Rattus norvegicus: one gene and its partners. The protein of the gene in region 4 interacts with the protein of the main gene of each other region in a biochemical or structural test. Links are inferred from orthologs where the notes say so. Each region holds a gene or a part of one and is shown on either strand. Other genes may lie near its edges.

Region 1 (3,992 bases), on a different chromosome or scaffold from region 4:
CCAGACAAACAAAAAAGTACCTTTTACTTCTTGTGTTTGGTTACTTTTTAAAAAGTGAATAAAGCTATAGTTTAATCCGGAGCTATTTTGATTGGTCACTTTCTTTAACTTCCTGAATGGCCTTCAGCAGAGCTGTGGCAGGAAACTGTGGGCAAAGAAATAGGGGTTTGGTATTATTATGCACTTATGGCCAGATTCCAGCTTCTGATATCCCTTTCTCCTTCCTGTCTTTATTAACACAGATTTGTTTATGGCCCTATTATCCCTTTGTGGCTTGTAGGCACCAGTTCTGTGTGTTTCTTTCTCCTACCTCCAAGGCCAACTCCTCTACTAGTGTGAAGTACACTGTCTGGTGGGGTGTGTAGCCTATAAGGCGTAAAAGTATATCTGTAGGTCTAAGGGGTGGCCAGATCTCTATATCCTCTGGGGGCTTTCCTCACTAGGCCTCTGGAAGAGCACCCCCACCCCCAAGTCTGTTGGTCCTTGGTGACTTGTAGAAACAGCCTTGCTCTAGCTCTTGTCTGGTAGCTCCCAGATGCACCACCCGAATTAGCCTTTATTCCTATTTCAGCTTTGTCTTTCCTCTGGGCCTCGCAGTACATCCACTGGGACTACTTCCCTTCCTGGTTCTCAACTCTGGTCCTCAGCTGTTGGGGTGGATGCTAATGGCCCAGGTTCCCTGGAGCTACCACCTCACTCACTGTATGGTGGGGGTGGGGGTGGTCTGGGCTAGGGGGTGAGGGATTCACGTCTTCAGCCGGGTCTGGAAAGGAAATGCTAAACTCTGAGGGACAACTTCCCTCCCCCCACTCCCCGCCCAGCAGCTTCTGTTTCCTTCCTATCCCTCCCAGTCTTCCCGGTCTTCCTGCTCTCTTTGGCTTGCCCAGGTCTGTTTGGATTGGTCCAGAGTTTTCCTTAACTCCTTCCTTTCTTTTTTCTCTTTTGCTTATTCTTCCTTTCTTTCTTGCCCGGCACCTCCTCCTTCCCAGACAGATCACTAGTTGTTTGTATTGGGCTGGGGAGAGTGGCCTGGCTAACACAAATTATGTGGGGAGGTGTCTCAACCCCTCTGAGCCTGTGAGTCAGCACTGTCCTGGGGATTGGTTTCTCTCCTTAGTTCCCCGCCCCTGGGGAGGAGCCAGTCAGCTCTGGGTCCAGCCTGTACTCCTCAGCCAGACGAGGTTTCCTAGCTGGGCTGGGCCAGGATGTGGTTTGAAACTGTCTAGGTCTGAGTTGGGAGAGCAGAGGTCACTTGTCCTTCGCCTCCCCAGGTCCTCTGTTATCACCCGGCTGCCGAGGTCAGACTAGGCTAAGGGTCTGGGGATGCCCCCTGCCTGGCCCCCTTGCCTGAATTGGCAGGGGGGCCGGGCCGGGCAGCAGCCCCCCTTCTCACCCCAGCCATGGATCTTCTACCCCCCAAGCCGAAGTACAACCCACTTCGGAATGAGTCTCTGTCATCGCTGGAGGAGGGGGCTTCAGGGTCTACTCCACCGGAGGAGCTGCCTTCCCCATCAGCCTCATCCCTGGGACCCATTCTGCCTCCTCTGCCGGGGGACGATAGCCCGACTACCCTGTGTTCCTTCTTTCCCCGGATGAGCAACTTGAAGCTGGCCAATCCTGCTGGGGGGCGCCTGGGACCTAAAGGGGAGCCAGGAAAAGCTGCAGAAGATGGGGAAGGGAGTGCAGGAGCAGCCCTTCGGGACTCAGGCCTCTTGCCCCTCCTCCAGGACATGAACAAGCTGAGTGGAGGCGGCGGGCGCAGGACTCGGGTAGAAGGGGGCCAGCTGGGGGGCGAGGAGTGGACCAGACACGGGAGCTTTGTCAATAAGCCCACACGAGGCTGGCTGCATCCCAACGACAAAGTCATGGGACCTGGGGTTTCCTACTTGGTTCGGGTGAGTGCATATCCCCTTTTCTACTCTCCCCATACCCCTTCCAGTTCCTCCAGATTTGTCGGGACTTCCTGCTCTTCCCCCTGGAACATCTGTGCCATTCTCTTAGTTCTTAAACCTGGTGCATTCCTTCTCCAGTTCTCTGCCCTTAATTTAGCCTGCGAATCTTCTGCCTTTCCTCCTTTGGTCCCCACTCCCCAGTTTACACAATGCTCAAGCACATCAGAGGCTTTTGGTAAAAGTTGAATGAAAATGACTTCTTGATTCTTCCCTTTAGACTCCTCCTTTTTCCAGAGATGTCACTCCATCCTACCCAATACCTGCTACTCCTCTCATAATGTCTCTGTGGTGCATGAAGTTCCTCTTTGCGGTCTTTCTTTCCTCTTTCCCCTTTCCCCTTCACAGTACACCTATGGGGTGGTAGCCCCAGGCAGTAGGAAAGCTACTTCACCTTTACTTTCCTTAGGGATAAGGCAAAGCCCTAGAACCTTCTGCAAAGGGCTGGCAAGTGTGGGGTGGGGGATGGGGACAGCTGATCCATTCTTCCCTCCTTCCCCTACAGTACATGGGTTGCGTGGAGGTCTTACAGTCAATGCGAGCCCTTGACTTCAATACCCGGACTCAGGTCACCAGGTTAGTGGGGATTGAAGTTACAGAAATCTCAGCCAGGGAGAGGAGGAAGTTGGGCATTTGGTGGTGGTGCTGATGGCGATTTCTCGTGGGTGGTCAGAGAACTGAAAGTTACAGAAGTAGTTCTGACTGGAAGGAGCCAGCTCTGGTGTGGAGCACCACCTCACCTAACTATCCAGCCTTGGAGACTGTGGGAAGATGGACTAGAAAAGGCAGCAGGGGTAGGAGGTTGCTGATGCTTTAGGGAAGGAGATGGAACATTCGGGAGCTGGGAAGAGGTGGAGCTGCAGCCATTGAGGCCCTAACCCAATCAGCCAGGAAGCGGCCCCTCAGTGTCATCAAATATTAAAGGCCCTTAATTCAATCCACCACGACAAAGAGCCTGGAGTGCTCTGGGAATCTGGCCTGGTCTTCCCTTCCCCCAGCTCTGTGGCAGCCCTAGCCAGGGGGAGGCCCATGGTGGGTCTGAGTACTCCTGTTTCTCCAGGGAGGCTATCAGTTTGGTGTGTGAAGCTGTGCCTGGTGCCAAAGGGGCGATGAGGAGGAGAAAGGTATGTGTGGTTGGTGTTGGGGCTGGGTGATTGGAGGCAGGGGAAGGCATGTGCAGGGCGTGTCGGGAGAAGGTGAGTATTTCCTTATGCTGGGAAAACTCAGATTCTGAGACTCTGGGCCCTTCCTAGCCCTGCAGCCGCCCACTCAGCTCTATCCTGGGAAGGAGTAACCTGAAGTTTGCTGGAATGCCGATCACTCTCACTGTGTCTACCAGCAGCCTTAACCTCATGGCAGCAGACTGCAAACAGGTGGGTAGGCTGCTCGAAGGAACCAGGGATAGTTAGTTATGGGAGCATCAAGTGGGGATTGGAGGCCAAAAACTTGCAGTCTTCAGGAAGAACTGGAGAGTAGAAGAGGAAGAAGTTAGGAAGGTTGAGTATAGTGATACCTTTTATCCTAGCACCCAGGAGGCCAAGGCAGAGGAATCTGAGTTCTAGTCAGGGCTACATAGTGAGACCTTGTGCCTCACCCCACCAAAAGAAGAAAGAAATTAGGAGAATGCAGGGTAAAAGGCCAAGAGAATGATCCCGGGGCTCCAAGGTTCTATGCTGGGGTGGGTTCACGTGGAGCCCTGAGGCTGCCTGACCTTTACCATTCCTTCCTTCTCCACCCTGCCCTCATCAGATCATTGCCAACCATCACATGCAATCTATCTCATTCGCGTCTGGTGGGGATCCGGTGAGTTGGGGAACAGAGAAAAGACGGGTGGGGAAGAAGAAACTAGGGGCTGAAATGATGCTGGCTAGAGGCTGGGAGTGGTGGCCACACAAGAATCCCAGCACTCAAGAGGCAGGATAGCCAGGGCCATGCAGAGTAATCCTTCTTGAAAAACCAAAAGAGGGAGGGAGAAAATACTGGCTAAAGAAGTGGTGCACAAGGATTGTGAAATATGTAAAAAGGACAGAGTTAGTGGGTCAG
Region 2 (4,127 bases), on a different chromosome or scaffold from region 4:
CACACACACACACGGGTTTGCCTTGTTCCACGTGCTTGTTCACCCAAACCCAACTATTTCTGCCCGTCAGAATACCTCTCGGTTCTCCCTAAACACACACACACACACACACACACACACACACACACACACACACACACACACACACACACACACACACGGGTTTGCCTTGTTCCACGTGCTTGTTCGCCCCAAATATTGTTCCTCTTCCAGATACATCTCGAAGTTCCCAAGTTCCACGATCGCCCCACCTACTCTTTGCCTCCTGAATATCTAGCTACCTGTACATAACCTGTCCCGTCCCCCTTTGCCAATTCAGTGTCATCACACAACTCGATACCCCCTTCCACATACCTTGGGGCTCCAACCACTTATCCCCTGTCCCCAAACACCATCCCCAGAAGTCAGAGTAACCCAAGTAATGATCCCTGCTTCTTCCCGACACTGTGCATTTTTATCTGTCGAAGGCGTTGATTCTTTCCGCCAAGACACAACTAACTTCCCTAAGATATGTGCCTCAACTTGGGCTGTGCTTCCAAAACCTCCCTACACAGAAGCAACCCTTCAGCCTGTGCGAGTACGCCGCGCGACGCTCGCGGTGACCACTAGAGGGCAGGCGTTTCCGGGTAGAAGGACTGGTCAGCCTGCCACTCAAGGTGGAGGGTTGAGTAGGAAGGACCTTAGGCTTCAGTGGAGCCTGGAGTTTCGTCCTTTTTAAGTGGAAATTTCCCCCATCGCCTTTCTCCGGAGAAAGTCAAAGAGAGACCCAGGCTACTGGAAAGTCTGGCAGGGGCGGGGACTGTGGTTTTCAGAGTACAGGGAGCGGTTAGAAGGGTGGGGCTGTTCCGGGAAGTGGCGGGGGGGGGGGGCGCTAAAACTAGCGACCTGTCCACTATTATCCCCCTTATGTCCTCTCAACTTATGAGAAGTGGTTTTTAAGGATCCTCAGAGAGAATAGGAAAAGGGATCGGGGAGGGGGAGCGGGAAACGGGCTTCCCTTGTTGTCCAGGGTCTTTCTGTGTTTCCCTTACTCTTCTTGGCTGTTGCTCTGGGACTAAAACCAGAGCCAGGGCCCCCAGATTTCCTCCACATACACACCTGGGGTACTCAAAGAGTGGTTGGTAAAAGTGGGAGGCCAAATGGAGAATAAACAGGTTGTCATATGGTTGAGTGATTGGAGCCCAAGTACCCTACACAGGAATGACTGGGGAGGAGGAGGAAAGAATAGGGGAGGGGGTGGAGTTTTGTTACCTGTCACCTGCTCTGACTGTGCCTAGGGCGGGAGGGGGACTGGTATAAAGCAGCAGGCACCAGCCCTGTTCCAGCGCACACACGCAGCGCCAGCCTTGAGTCTGTTTCTACCCCTTTCCCGCCTGTTCACCACCACCATGACCCCGGGCATACGGGTTCCTCTCCTCCTGCTGCTACTTCTAGCAAGCCTAAAAGGTGAGAGGTACAAGGTGGGGAGGGGCTGCACTGTTCAGGTGGGACTCAGTCTTTCTGGCACAATGAGAGTCATAAGTGGCCATCCACTCAGGGATGGCCCAGTATGTGCCGGAGGGAAAGAGGCTAAGGAAGGAGGCTGAGAAGAGGTGACTCCCCCAAGAGAGTGGGCACCAGAGTAGGCAAATGCTCTTCGTGGGGAGTAGAGAAGAGAGGCTGCGTCAGGAGAAGCAGCTCCAGCTCCGGAGTGGAAGAATGGGGCCGTGTGGTTCCAGTCTACAATTCCCACACTCAGGACACTCGGGTTCACAGAGAGTTCAAGGCCAGCCTAGGGTACAGTATGAATACCTGTCTCAGAGATAAGCAGTAGAGGAGTGAATGAGCCAGAAGCAGAGGTGAGACCTTTGAGGAGGGAGGCTGTCAGGAAGGATGAAGGCAAACGTAGGACTACCTGATGTTAACCTGACCCCCCTTCCTTCCGGGGTTACTTTGGTTTCGGAGTTTATATTTTTCTTCTTGCTCTGATTTTATTCATTAACCCAGTAGGTTTCCCCCCCCCCTTTTTTTTTTAAACTCTGGCTCTAGCCAGAACTAAAACATCACACATGCTATCTAAAGCAACCCAGTGTCCAACTCTGTTGATTGGTGCTGTGAGCATGAAACCCCCTCATCTTCCACTCTGGCTCAGGTTTTCCTGCCCTTCCAAGTCAGAAAAATAGTGTCACCTTATCTCAGGACACCAGCAGTTTCCTTAACATCGACTATCACTCCAGTCCGCAGTGGTGCCTCCTCCTCAACCACCAGCCTTCCAGGGGACTCCTTCAGCACTGCAGTCCCCAGTGGTGCCTCTTCCTCAGCCACCAGCCCTCCAGTGGACTCCACCACCTCTCCAGTTCATAGTAGCACCTCGTTCCCAGCCACCAGCCCTCCAGGAGACTCCACCAGCACTGCAGTCCTCAGTGGTGACTCAGATCCAGCCACCAGCCCTCCAGGGGACTCCTCCAGCACTGCAGTCCCCAATGGTGCCTCTTCCTCAGCCACCAGCCCTCCAGTGGACTCCACCACCTCCCCAGTTCATAGTAGCACCTCGTTCCCAGCCACCAGCTCTCCAGGGGACTCCACCAGCACTGCAGTCACCAGTGGCACCTCTTCCTCAGCCACCAGCCCTCCAGAGGACTCCTCCAGCACTGCAGTCACCAGTGGCACCTCGTCCCCAGCCACCAGCCCTCCAGGGGACTCCTCCAGCACTGCAGTCACCAGTGGCACCTCGTCCCCAGCCACCAGCCCTATATTGGACTCCTCCAGCACTGCAGTCCTCAGTGGCACCTCGTCCCCAGCCACCAGCCCTCCAGAGGACTCCACCAGCACTGCAGTCACCAGTGGCACCTCGTCCCCAGCCACCAGCCCTCCAGAGGACTCCACCAGCACTGCAGTCACCAGTGGCACCTCGTCCCCAGCCACCAGCCCTATATTGGACTCCTCCAGCACTGCAATCCACAGTGGCACCTCGTCCCCAGCCACCAGCCCTCCAGGGGACTCCTCCAGCACTGCAGTCCTCAGCGGTGCTTCCACCCAAACCACCAAGGCTGTATCAGACTTAGCTAGCACTCCAACCCACAATGGCATCATGGTCCCAACTACCTGGTCTGCATTGAGCTCAGCCACCAGTCCGGTGTACAGTGGTTCCTCAGCTACAACTAATAGCTCTGAATCAGACATGGCCACCACTCCAGTGTACAGTGGCACCCCATTCTCTTCTACCACGGCTACGTCAGCTATCACCCCAGACCACAATGGCTCCTTGGTGCGAACTACCAGTTCTGTGTTGGGCTTAGCCACCAGTCCAGCCCATGATACCTCTGCGGTGGCCACAACTCCAGTCCGCAATGACACTCAGTCTTCAGTTCCAAGTCAGCAGCCCATCTCTCCCACCATCCCCGCCATCTCCAGCCACAGTACTGTTAGCAGCAGCTCTTACTACAGCACAGCGGTCTTCCCTACCTTCTCCAGTAACAGCTCACCCCAGTTGTCTGTCGGGGTCTCCTTCTTCTCGTTGTCTTTTTACATTCGGAACCACCCATTTAATTCTTCCCTGGAAGACCCCAGCTCCCGCTACTACCAAGAACTGAAGAGGAACATTTCCGGATTGGTGGGTATCAGCCTGGTCTCGGCCATGCTGCCCTGATATAGCTCTTCGGGACCACACGAATCTTTTACATCAAACCCGAGTCTTCTCCTCCTATCCCAGTTTCTGCAGGTTTTTAACGGAGACTTTCTGGGGGTCTCTACTATCAAGTTCAGGTATAATTCTGGATTTGCCCTGTGGGAGGGATGGACAGTCCCGCAACTTTGTGATGTCCGGGATGGGGGTGTGGCGGGTGGGGTGGGGATGCTGAGCTATAAGCAGAGAGTCGATCTGAGCCCCCTATTTCCTGCGACCAGGTCAGGCTCGGTGGTGGTAGCATCGACTGTGATTTTCCGGGAGGGCACTTTCAGTGCCTCTGAAGTGAAGTCACAGCTCGTACAACATAAGAAGGAGGCAGCTGACTATAATCTGACTATCTCGGAAGTCAATGGTGAGGTGACAGCCCCAGCTGCACCCTGGCACCACCTGTTTACCTTTGGTGCTGGGAGTGGGAAATCCACCTCCTTTGGGGACTTCCCTGACCACTGTTTTCCCTTCT
Region 3 (4,168 bases), on a different chromosome or scaffold from region 4:
AGAAAGGGCTGAGGCTAAGCAGAGCAGGAGAACCTTCTGCCACCCTCCCTAGCACATGGGCTCCCAAATATGCTGCAGAGTCAGGGGCTCCAGGAGATCTAGACTTCAAGCTGGGCAGGGTTTGGTGTGGAGTTATCCAAGCTCCCTGTAACACCTCTCTTTCTGTCACTGGGCAACCAGAAGCTAGGGCTAGCTCCTTAGCTCAGGCCTTCTGTATCCAAGGCTGAAAACAGTCCTTCCCAGTAAGGGGGGCCCTGAATTGCTTCCCCCAACTCAGACAAGACAGCTTTGTTCTGGGGGCATTTGGCTCCGAAGCCCGGTGTTCAGCTTAGGGCCTACAAACTGCACCCTGAAGTCTCCATCCCCAACAATCCGCTCAGCTCTCTGCTTTGCTGTTTCGCTCCTTTAGCAAGAATAAAACTGTCAGTTGGTTGGCTTCCCCGACTCCATCCCAAATCAGCCTTTCCCCTGGTCCACCATCCTCTCCATCCACAACTCCTCTTCCCGCTGGCCGGCTGTAACTCCCCTACCTTCGACTAGGCAGAACTCCAGAGGCTGGAAGCAGAGTCCTGGTCCTGGAGATTACTTTCAGGACTTCTCAGAAAAAAAGTGTTCGGCCAGGGGAGACTGGACCCCCCCTTCCTCCCCCCTCTTCGTTGGTCCCTCCTACGTCCTCTAGAGCCCTCCCACATTCCGCTTTCTCCCTCCATTCGGGCCAGGCCAGTTCCCTCCTCTAGATCTTCCCCTCCCCTGTGGAGCTGGCTGCAGCCACGCCACCCCCTCCCACTCCTCCGGGCTCAATGAAGCTTTCTTTTCCCGCAGGTTGGGAGGCCAGGCAGCGGCGTTCAGGATGCTGGACTTGCAAATGGTTTCGGGACAGCAGGATGGCCCCTGTGGCCGCAGGAAGCTTTTCAGCCCGTAGCCGTTTCTCCACATCTCCAGCTAGACAGAGTATCAACAGACCAGTCCAATTCCAGAGCTGGACCATGGGAACAAGGTCCCACAAAGAAAACTAATGTCCTGAGGGCCCTCTTGGTCATTATGGCGACCCCAAAGTCCCTGCAGGTGATGTCACGGCCTTCACTCTGATGTCACGTTAAATATATGTCGTCACTCCCAGCTTCCACCCCCAGGCACTAGGGCCTTTAGTTGGTGACCGCGACTTCCCTGAGTAGTGCCACTGTGCGTGCGGTGAGATAAAGGCTCCCCTTGGGTTCTTCCTGACGGCTCGTTTTCCTTCGACCCCTCCGTCCCCGCCCCCCCTCCCCGCATCACCGCCGCAGGGGCCCGGGAGGGGCGGACACGCCTCCGGCACCCTGCAGCCCCGCCCAGCCCCGCCCCCAGGGCCAGGAAGCGCGGAAGGAATCGCCTTGGCCATGGACGGGGCTTTGATGGAGGGTCCGCTTTTTCTGCAGAGTCAGCGCTTCGGGACCAAGGTAGTTTGTTTGTGTCGTGGGGGGATGGCAAAACTCCCCTGGACTAGAAATGGGTGAAAGAATCCAGAAAGAGGGAATGGGCCGGAAGAAGGTCGGAACGGCGCGCGAGCAATCGTAGAGCCCCTAAGACGTTCGTTCCCTTGAAAGTCTCGGGCTGTGCCCTCCTTGGTGCGGATTTGGGATGGCATTATCTTTGGGAAAGTAGCCCAGCCTGGGAATCCCCAGACTCAGATCGGCCTGCGTGGGTCTCTTCTCCCTTGTAGGGCGCATGCTGCCGCTCACTCTCGAGTCTTTCGTTCTTTCCCAGAGGTGGAAGAAAACTTGGGCTGTGCTTTACCCAGCCAGCCCTCACGGCGTGGCGCGGCTGGAATTCTTTGATCACAAGGGGTCGAGCTCTGGAGGGGGTCGAGGCGGCTCTCGCCGTCTAGACTGCAAGATGATACGCCTGGCTGAATGTGTGAGCGTGGTGCCTGTGACTGTGGAGAGTCCCCCTGAGCCCGGCGCCTCTGCCTTCCGCCTGGACACCGCACAACGCTCGCACCTGCTTGCAGCGGACGCCGCATCCAGCACTGCCTGGGTGCAGATTTTATGCAGAACCGCTTTTCCGGTGAGTGTCTGGGGGTGGTCACCCCTGGGCCTAAGGGGCACTGCGAGGATGAAACTACTATAACGGCATTGGACTTCTTGCACCTACCCTAGACCCAAGAGAATTATGTATATGGTCCTCGATGTTCTCTTTTCTGCAGAAAGGCGGCTGGGCTTTGGCTCAGACGGAGAACCCACCTAAGTTTTCTGCCCTGGAGATGCTGGAGAATTCGCTGTACAGCCCCACCTGGGAAGGTATTAGTCTGGCAGAAATGGAGTGGGGTGAAGAGGTGCCCTTGGGGAGATAGTGATTGGAGTCTACCAAGTCCCCAACCTGCCCCGGCGCTCCTTCTCTTCCTGTGTTCTTCCAGGATCCCAATTCTGGGTAACCTCGCAGAAGACCGAGGCTTCTGAACGCTGCGGCTTGCAAGGCTCCTACGTACTGAGGGTAGAAGCTGAGAAGCTGACCCTTCTGACTTTGGGTGCACAGAGTCAAATCCTGGAGCCGCTCCTTTTCTGGCCCTACACTCTGTTGCGACGCTATGGCCGAGACAAGGTGCATGGGGCTGTCTGGGAGGATGACCATCGGGGAGGGCTACTGGGTTGGGTAGCTGTAGGTGACAACTCCATTCCCAGGTAGTCTCTTCTGTGCAGATATACTAAATTGGTCAGACCTGTGACTCATTTCTTTAGACACTCCTAACCTGTTTCCCTCCACACCCTCAGGTAATGTTCTCCTTTGAAGCGGGTCGCCGCTGCCCCTCTGGCCCTGGGACCTTCACCTTCCAGACTGCCCAGGGAAATGACATCTTTCAGGCAGTTGAGGCTGCTATCCAGCAGCAGAAAGCCCAAGGAAAGGTGGGACAGGGACAAGATATCACCAGAACTGACTCCCATGATGGGGAGACAGAGGGGAAGATGGCTCCCACTCCTGTTCCCCAGGAACCCCTGGGCAGCCCTCCAGCCCTATATGCAGAGCCTTTAGACTCCCTGCGAATTCCTCCAGGCCCTTCTCAGGACTCTTTGTATTCAGACCCCCTGGGCAGCACCCCTGCTGGGGCAGGGGAAGGGGTGCAGCGGAAGAAACCTCTCTATTGGGATTTGTATGGGCACGTGCAGCAGCAGTTGCTGAAAACCAAGCTGATAGACTCCAAAGAGGACCCCATCTATGATGAGCCTGAGGGCCTGGCCCCTGCCCCTCTCCGGGGCCTTTATGATCTGCCTCAGGAGCCTAAGGATGCATGGTGGTGCCAGGCTCGGCTGAAGGAAGAGGGCTATGAGCTCCCTTACAACCCCGCCACCGACGACTACGCTGTGCCACCCCCTCGGAGCTCAAAGCCTACCCCTGCCCCCAAGCCACAGGGCTTGATCCTTCCTGAATCTGGTACCACAGCTGGCAGTGGCAGCAAAGGCTCAGATACAGCTCTGTACAGCCAGGTCCAGAAAAGTGGGACCCCAGGGAGATGGGACTGTGGACTCTCTAGAGTAGGGAATGACAGGGTGGGGGTCAAGTCAGAGGGTTCCACCTGAGACAGTTGCTGATAGGAGGTCCATGGGGTGGTGGCACTGAAGATCAGAGAAACCTGAGGGTGGGAGGGGCCGGGGGACCAGAGGAGTCAAGTGATGACCAGTCCCCGGAAGTTGTGGGAGTAGAAGAAACAAGGCTGCTGGACTGACTAGGCCTGTGGGAGAGGTCCACTGGTCAGAGTGAGGACACTTTGGGGAGGCCAGTATGGATCCTCACTCTTGTTCTTTGCCAGATACGTTTTAATTTATAAGGCAAATCTCATTAAAGGTGGCTTGATTGAAAAGGTCTCTGCGCATGAATAGACACTGGGGCAGGCATGCGCTGGGAGGGTGGGGAGGGGTCAAGGGAGGAAGCAGAAATATGTTGGGGACCGTGGAAGGATGAAGGGCCCCAGGGAGGGAAGCCTACAGTGTGGTGATTCACAGCCTGGGTGGTCATAGCCTCTCCTGGGCCGGTCTCTGACTCATTGACCCTGTTGTCTGTTACCTGCCATTCTTAACTCTCCTCTGCTGCCCTTACACCAAGTGTGAGAATTTGGCTGTGCTACAGAAAGGCAGCTGGCACGAGATAAGACACACTTCCCCAGCTCTTAGTGTAATCTAAAGCATAGAAGGCACTT
Region 4 (3,500 bases):
CTTTGGGGTACAGTTTCTTTCTCCCTCTTTGTTGCCTTTTAGAATGGTGGGGACCTGTGCAGCCAGGCAGTTAGAGTCAGTCACAAAGGAGTCTTATCCACTGGAGGCCCCGGGGTGGTGGATTGGGCCACAGGGCTGCTGCTGGGACTTCCTGACCAACCCCTGCTCTACCCAGGCTCAGAAAAGTTCAGGTGTCAAACAGTTCTGCCTGGCGGTAAATGTCATTACTCTCAGGTCATCTTGGCCTGGCACCTCTTCCTAGCTGAGATGCTGGGGCCCCTATCATGGGAGAGTGCCAGACCCCTGGCCAGCCAGTCCCTGGCTACCCGAGGCATAGGTCCACTGAAGCCTAGGTGGTCATCCCTACCCCAGCCTGAAGCTATGTCCACACTCTACTTGCTAGAGACTAAATATTGCCTCCTTTATAAATGTGAGCACATGCCCAGAGAGGGCATGCTATTTGTTCAAGGTCACACAGTGTTTCTCCAGGAACTACTCAGCTCTGGGGGGCCGGGGCAGTACAGGCAGGCACACTAGGAGCTGTGGTTTTAGTGCTTCCTTCCTGTTTAGCTCTTGTGATAGCAACAGTTTTATGCGTATTAGCACCTGCTCCATGTTGGTCTGTACACTGACCTTTGACCTTCTGGGAGCCAGCGAGGGAGCTCAGGCTTCAGATGGGGGCGGGAGCAGTGGGATACTTCTCTGTTCATTTTCTTGGAGAGGTATCCCCCAAACAGGCCAGTGAACCCCTAGGGACCCGTGGGCTGATGTCAGGCTGTTTTGCTAGCTCTGGCTATAGTTTGGCCACCTCATTCTGTGGTCTCTGATGTCAAACCTGGGTCCCATCCTGGTACAAGCCTGTCTTCTGTCCCAGTCCTCCTGTCTCCCTGTCTCTTGTCCCCTGGCTTCTGGAGATTTGGAGAACTTGCATTTGGCTGTGGACATTAGGGACCCCTGATTTCAGCCTCTCTCTGCCATTGACTATGCGTGTGGCTTTGGGCAAATCATCTCCTCCTCTGTGCCTCAGTTTCCTCTACTCTATAAAGAAAACACTGGTCTCTCTTAGTAGAGTGACTGGGTTTTCCACCTCTCTCAAATATAGTTTCCTCAGCTAGGGTGGGGGCCTTGCCTTCTTTTTTTTTTTTTTTTTTTGGTTCTTTTTTTCGGAGCTGGGGACCGAACCCAGGGCCTTGCGCTTCCTAGGTAAGCGCTCTACCACTGAGCTAAATCCCCAGCCCCGGGGGGGGGGGGGGGGGGCTTGCCTTCTTCCTTGTTGGATGGTGTCTGAGGTCAAGCCGGACGGAAATGTGTGCTAAGCAAGGGTGGACCTTTGGGTGCTGGGTGAGCTTGCACCTTGCCTGTGTCTGTGTCCCTCATGACTCCACTCACACCCTCTTCACTGCGCATGTCCATTTAGAAGGGACCCCTCTGGCCCAGCATTGGCCAAGACAGAGTCTGATGCTCTCCCCGCCCGCCTCCAGCCTTTCCTTCAAGCTCCTCCAGCTCAGCTTGCTCCTGGCCTCAACTTCTCCATCTGTGAAGCTGGGCAAACACGTGCTCAGACCTCCAGTGCCGTCAAGTTGGGACTGTGTGACTCAAGGCCAGGACCTTTCTGTCTCTGGACCAGGGTGGGATGCTGTGTAATCTTCTCAGGATCAAGGCAGGGCCAAGGCCACCAGCTGAATAATTTGACCCTCATCTTGTCTACTCCCCAAGCCTTGCATGAAGAGCTGCAGAGTCATTGAGCCTCATGGTACCCACAGGGAGGCACCTGGCCTGGCTGTGTGACCTTGCACAGAGCCCTTTGCTTCTCCACCCTGTCTTTCCGTCTGTACAGGGGGTGTGGGAAGGGCTGGACCCTAGCTCCCAGGCCTTGCCCTCTGATCTTCCCTCAAACATCCAACCTTCTCCCCGTCCCCTTTGGTTGCTTTGGATGTGAGGTCTCTGGCTGCCCCCTACACCCCATTCCCAGTGTCCCCAGCACTGCCTGGCTCTCTCGCTCTCTCTCCCTTGCCCCCCCCCCCCCATCACGGCCTCTCACCACCCCCATCTCTGCCTCTTCTCTCCTGTCGGGCTCTCGCTTGCTCCTCCCTCCTCTGTCTCTGGACCCCTGCTCCAGCCAGACCTGGTTCACATTCAGATGGCTGCAAAGGTACTTCTGCCCTTCCCCCTCCTGCCCAGGCCCAGAGCCCGAGCCCTGCTGGGATCCCTCCTCCTTCTTGCCCTCCTCCCACCTCCCTCCCCCCTCTTCCTGGGGCAGTTAGTGTAGAGGGTCCTGAGCACTGGGCTCAGCCACCTCTGTTCCCGTGACTTGCTGTGTGACTTTGGGCATGGCCCAGTTCTCTCTGGCTTCACTTTCCCCACAGACAGGGGTAGGCTGCAGGAGGAGGCCTGTAGTTCTGTTAAGGACTTTTAGGAGTGAGCTGTGATTTGGGACAGGGGCAAGCATTGCTTGTTTGAAGGGATGGGACTGAATTATTGCTGGGCCAGACGGGCTAGCCCTTGTCTCCATTGGGCGTTAGGGCTCTCAGGGCTTGGGGAGACTTTGAAGGTCTAATCTGGCATCTGTCTCATGTAAACCTTGCTTCTCCCTTCTCCTCCCCGCAACAGGGAGCTTCCTCTCTCCTAAGGCAGCCCTTGGCACCTGCAGGCCGCTGTGCACTTCTGGACAGTTCAGTCTTGGGTGGGATGGGGCTCAGTTCTGCTGAGGTTTTAGGCGCCATCCCTCTGGGTCAGTGTGTCTGGGAAGTAGAGGTTCCAGGCCAGTTCCTGCTGGCTTGCTGTGTACACAGGCTGCCCCTGCTTCCCTTGCTACAGAACCTGGCCATGCACCTGGGGAAGTCAGGGTCACCGACCCTGCTCCCCCGGTGACATCATTTTTTGCTCCCTCCCTTCTGCTCAGAGAGGGAGACTGGTGGCTGGCACACTCGCTGAGCACCGGACAGACCGGTTACATCCCCAGTAACTATGTGGCGCCCTCCGACTCCATCCAGGCTGAGGAGTGAGTATGTTGTTCGGCTATGGTCTGCTGCCACTGCCACCCCTAGTACAGGGTCCTTTGTGGGCCTGAGTGGGCAGCAGGTTGGCTACCCTGAAACCCCAGTACCCAGGGCCAGCATTGTGGGCAGCGAACCCTGGTCAACAGACACACTTGTCCCTCCCACTCCAGGTGGTACTTTGGCAAGATCACTAGACGGGAATCAGAGCGGCTACTTCTCAACGCCGAGAACCCCAGAGGGACCTTCCTCGTGAGGGAGAGTGAGACCACAAAAGGTATGCTTGAGCACCCCTGTGGCTGGCAGAACTCAGCTTCGAGGGTATTATTTGAGCTGGGTATTGGAGAGTGAATCTGAGTTTGGTGCACGGGATGGGGAGGGGAGAGCCTTTCAGTGGAGGAGATAGCAGGAATTAAAGTTACCGTGGTACTTGAGGAAGACTGAGTGATCCAGAGGTGGCTTCCCTCTGGCCTCGGTTTTCACACAGGGAGTGGGTACAGGTTG

The links. The genes of interacting proteins can lie anywhere in the genome.
Region 1: of the proteins of Src (region 4) and Shc1, one has a biochemical effect on the other in vitro, tested with the Homo sapiens proteins (4 studies listed by BioGRID and IntAct, with this or other methods). The link is inferred for Rattus norvegicus from reciprocal best matches to the Homo sapiens genes SRC and SHC1.
Region 2: the proteins of Src (region 4) and Muc1 form a complex in vitro, tested with the Homo sapiens proteins (2 studies listed by BioGRID, with this or other methods). The link is inferred for Rattus norvegicus from reciprocal best matches to the Homo sapiens genes SRC and MUC1.
Region 3: the proteins of Src (region 4) and Dok1 form a complex in vitro, tested with the Homo sapiens proteins (2 studies listed by BioGRID, with this or other methods). The link is inferred for Rattus norvegicus from reciprocal best matches to the Homo sapiens genes SRC and DOK1.

The regions. Positions count from the first base shown.
Region 1 is NC_086020.1:177,137,356-177,141,347, forward strand, and holds the start of Shc1 (SHC-transforming protein 1), read left to right. Parts: upstream 1-1,192; 5' UTR 1,193-1,400; coding exon 1,401-1,895; intron 1,896-2,454; coding exon 2,455-2,525; intron 2,526-3,009; coding exon 3,010-3,073; intron 3,074-3,202; coding exon 3,203-3,322; intron 3,323-3,698; coding exon 3,699-3,752; intron 3,753-3,992. UniProt on the Homo sapiens protein: Signaling adapter that couples activated growth factor receptors to signaling pathways. Participates in a signaling cascade initiated by activated KIT and KITLG/SCF.
Region 2 is NC_086020.1:176,932,423-176,936,549, forward strand, and holds the start of Muc1 (mucin-1 precursor), read left to right. Parts: upstream 1-1,327; 5' UTR 1,328-1,388; coding exon 1,389-1,446; intron 1,447-2,216; coding exon 2,217-3,592; intron 3,593-3,691; coding exon 3,692-3,744; intron 3,745-3,885; coding exon 3,886-4,019; intron 4,020-4,127. UniProt on the Homo sapiens protein: The alpha subunit has cell adhesive properties. Can act both as an adhesion and an anti-adhesion protein. May provide a protective layer on epithelial cells against bacterial and enzyme attack.
Region 3 is NC_086022.1:117,094,835-117,099,002, reverse strand, and holds Dok1 (docking protein 1), read left to right. Parts: upstream 1-1,368; 5' UTR 1,369-1,376; coding exon 1,377-1,436; intron 1,437-1,455; exon of another isoform or gene 1,456-1,604; intron 1,605-1,699; exon of another isoform or gene 1,700-1,704; coding exon of another isoform or gene 1,705-1,743; coding exon 1,744-2,043; intron 2,044-2,182; coding exon 2,183-2,276; intron 2,277-2,392; coding exon 2,393-2,577; intron 2,578-2,747; coding exon 2,748-3,551; 3' UTR 3,552-3,832; downstream 3,833-4,168. UniProt on the Homo sapiens protein: DOK proteins are enzymatically inert adaptor or scaffolding proteins. They provide a docking platform for the assembly of multimolecular signaling complexes. DOK1 appears to be a negative regulator of the insulin signaling pathway.
Region 4 is NC_086021.1:166,547,688-166,551,187, forward strand, and holds part of Src (proto-oncogene tyrosine-protein kinase Src), read left to right. Parts: intron 1-2,902; coding exon 2,903-3,001; intron 3,002-3,169; coding exon 3,170-3,273; intron 3,274-3,500. UniProt on the Homo sapiens protein: Non-receptor protein tyrosine kinase which is activated following engagement of many different classes of cellular receptors including immune response receptors, integrins and other adhesion receptors, receptor protein tyrosine kinases, G protein-coupled receptors as well as cytokine receptors.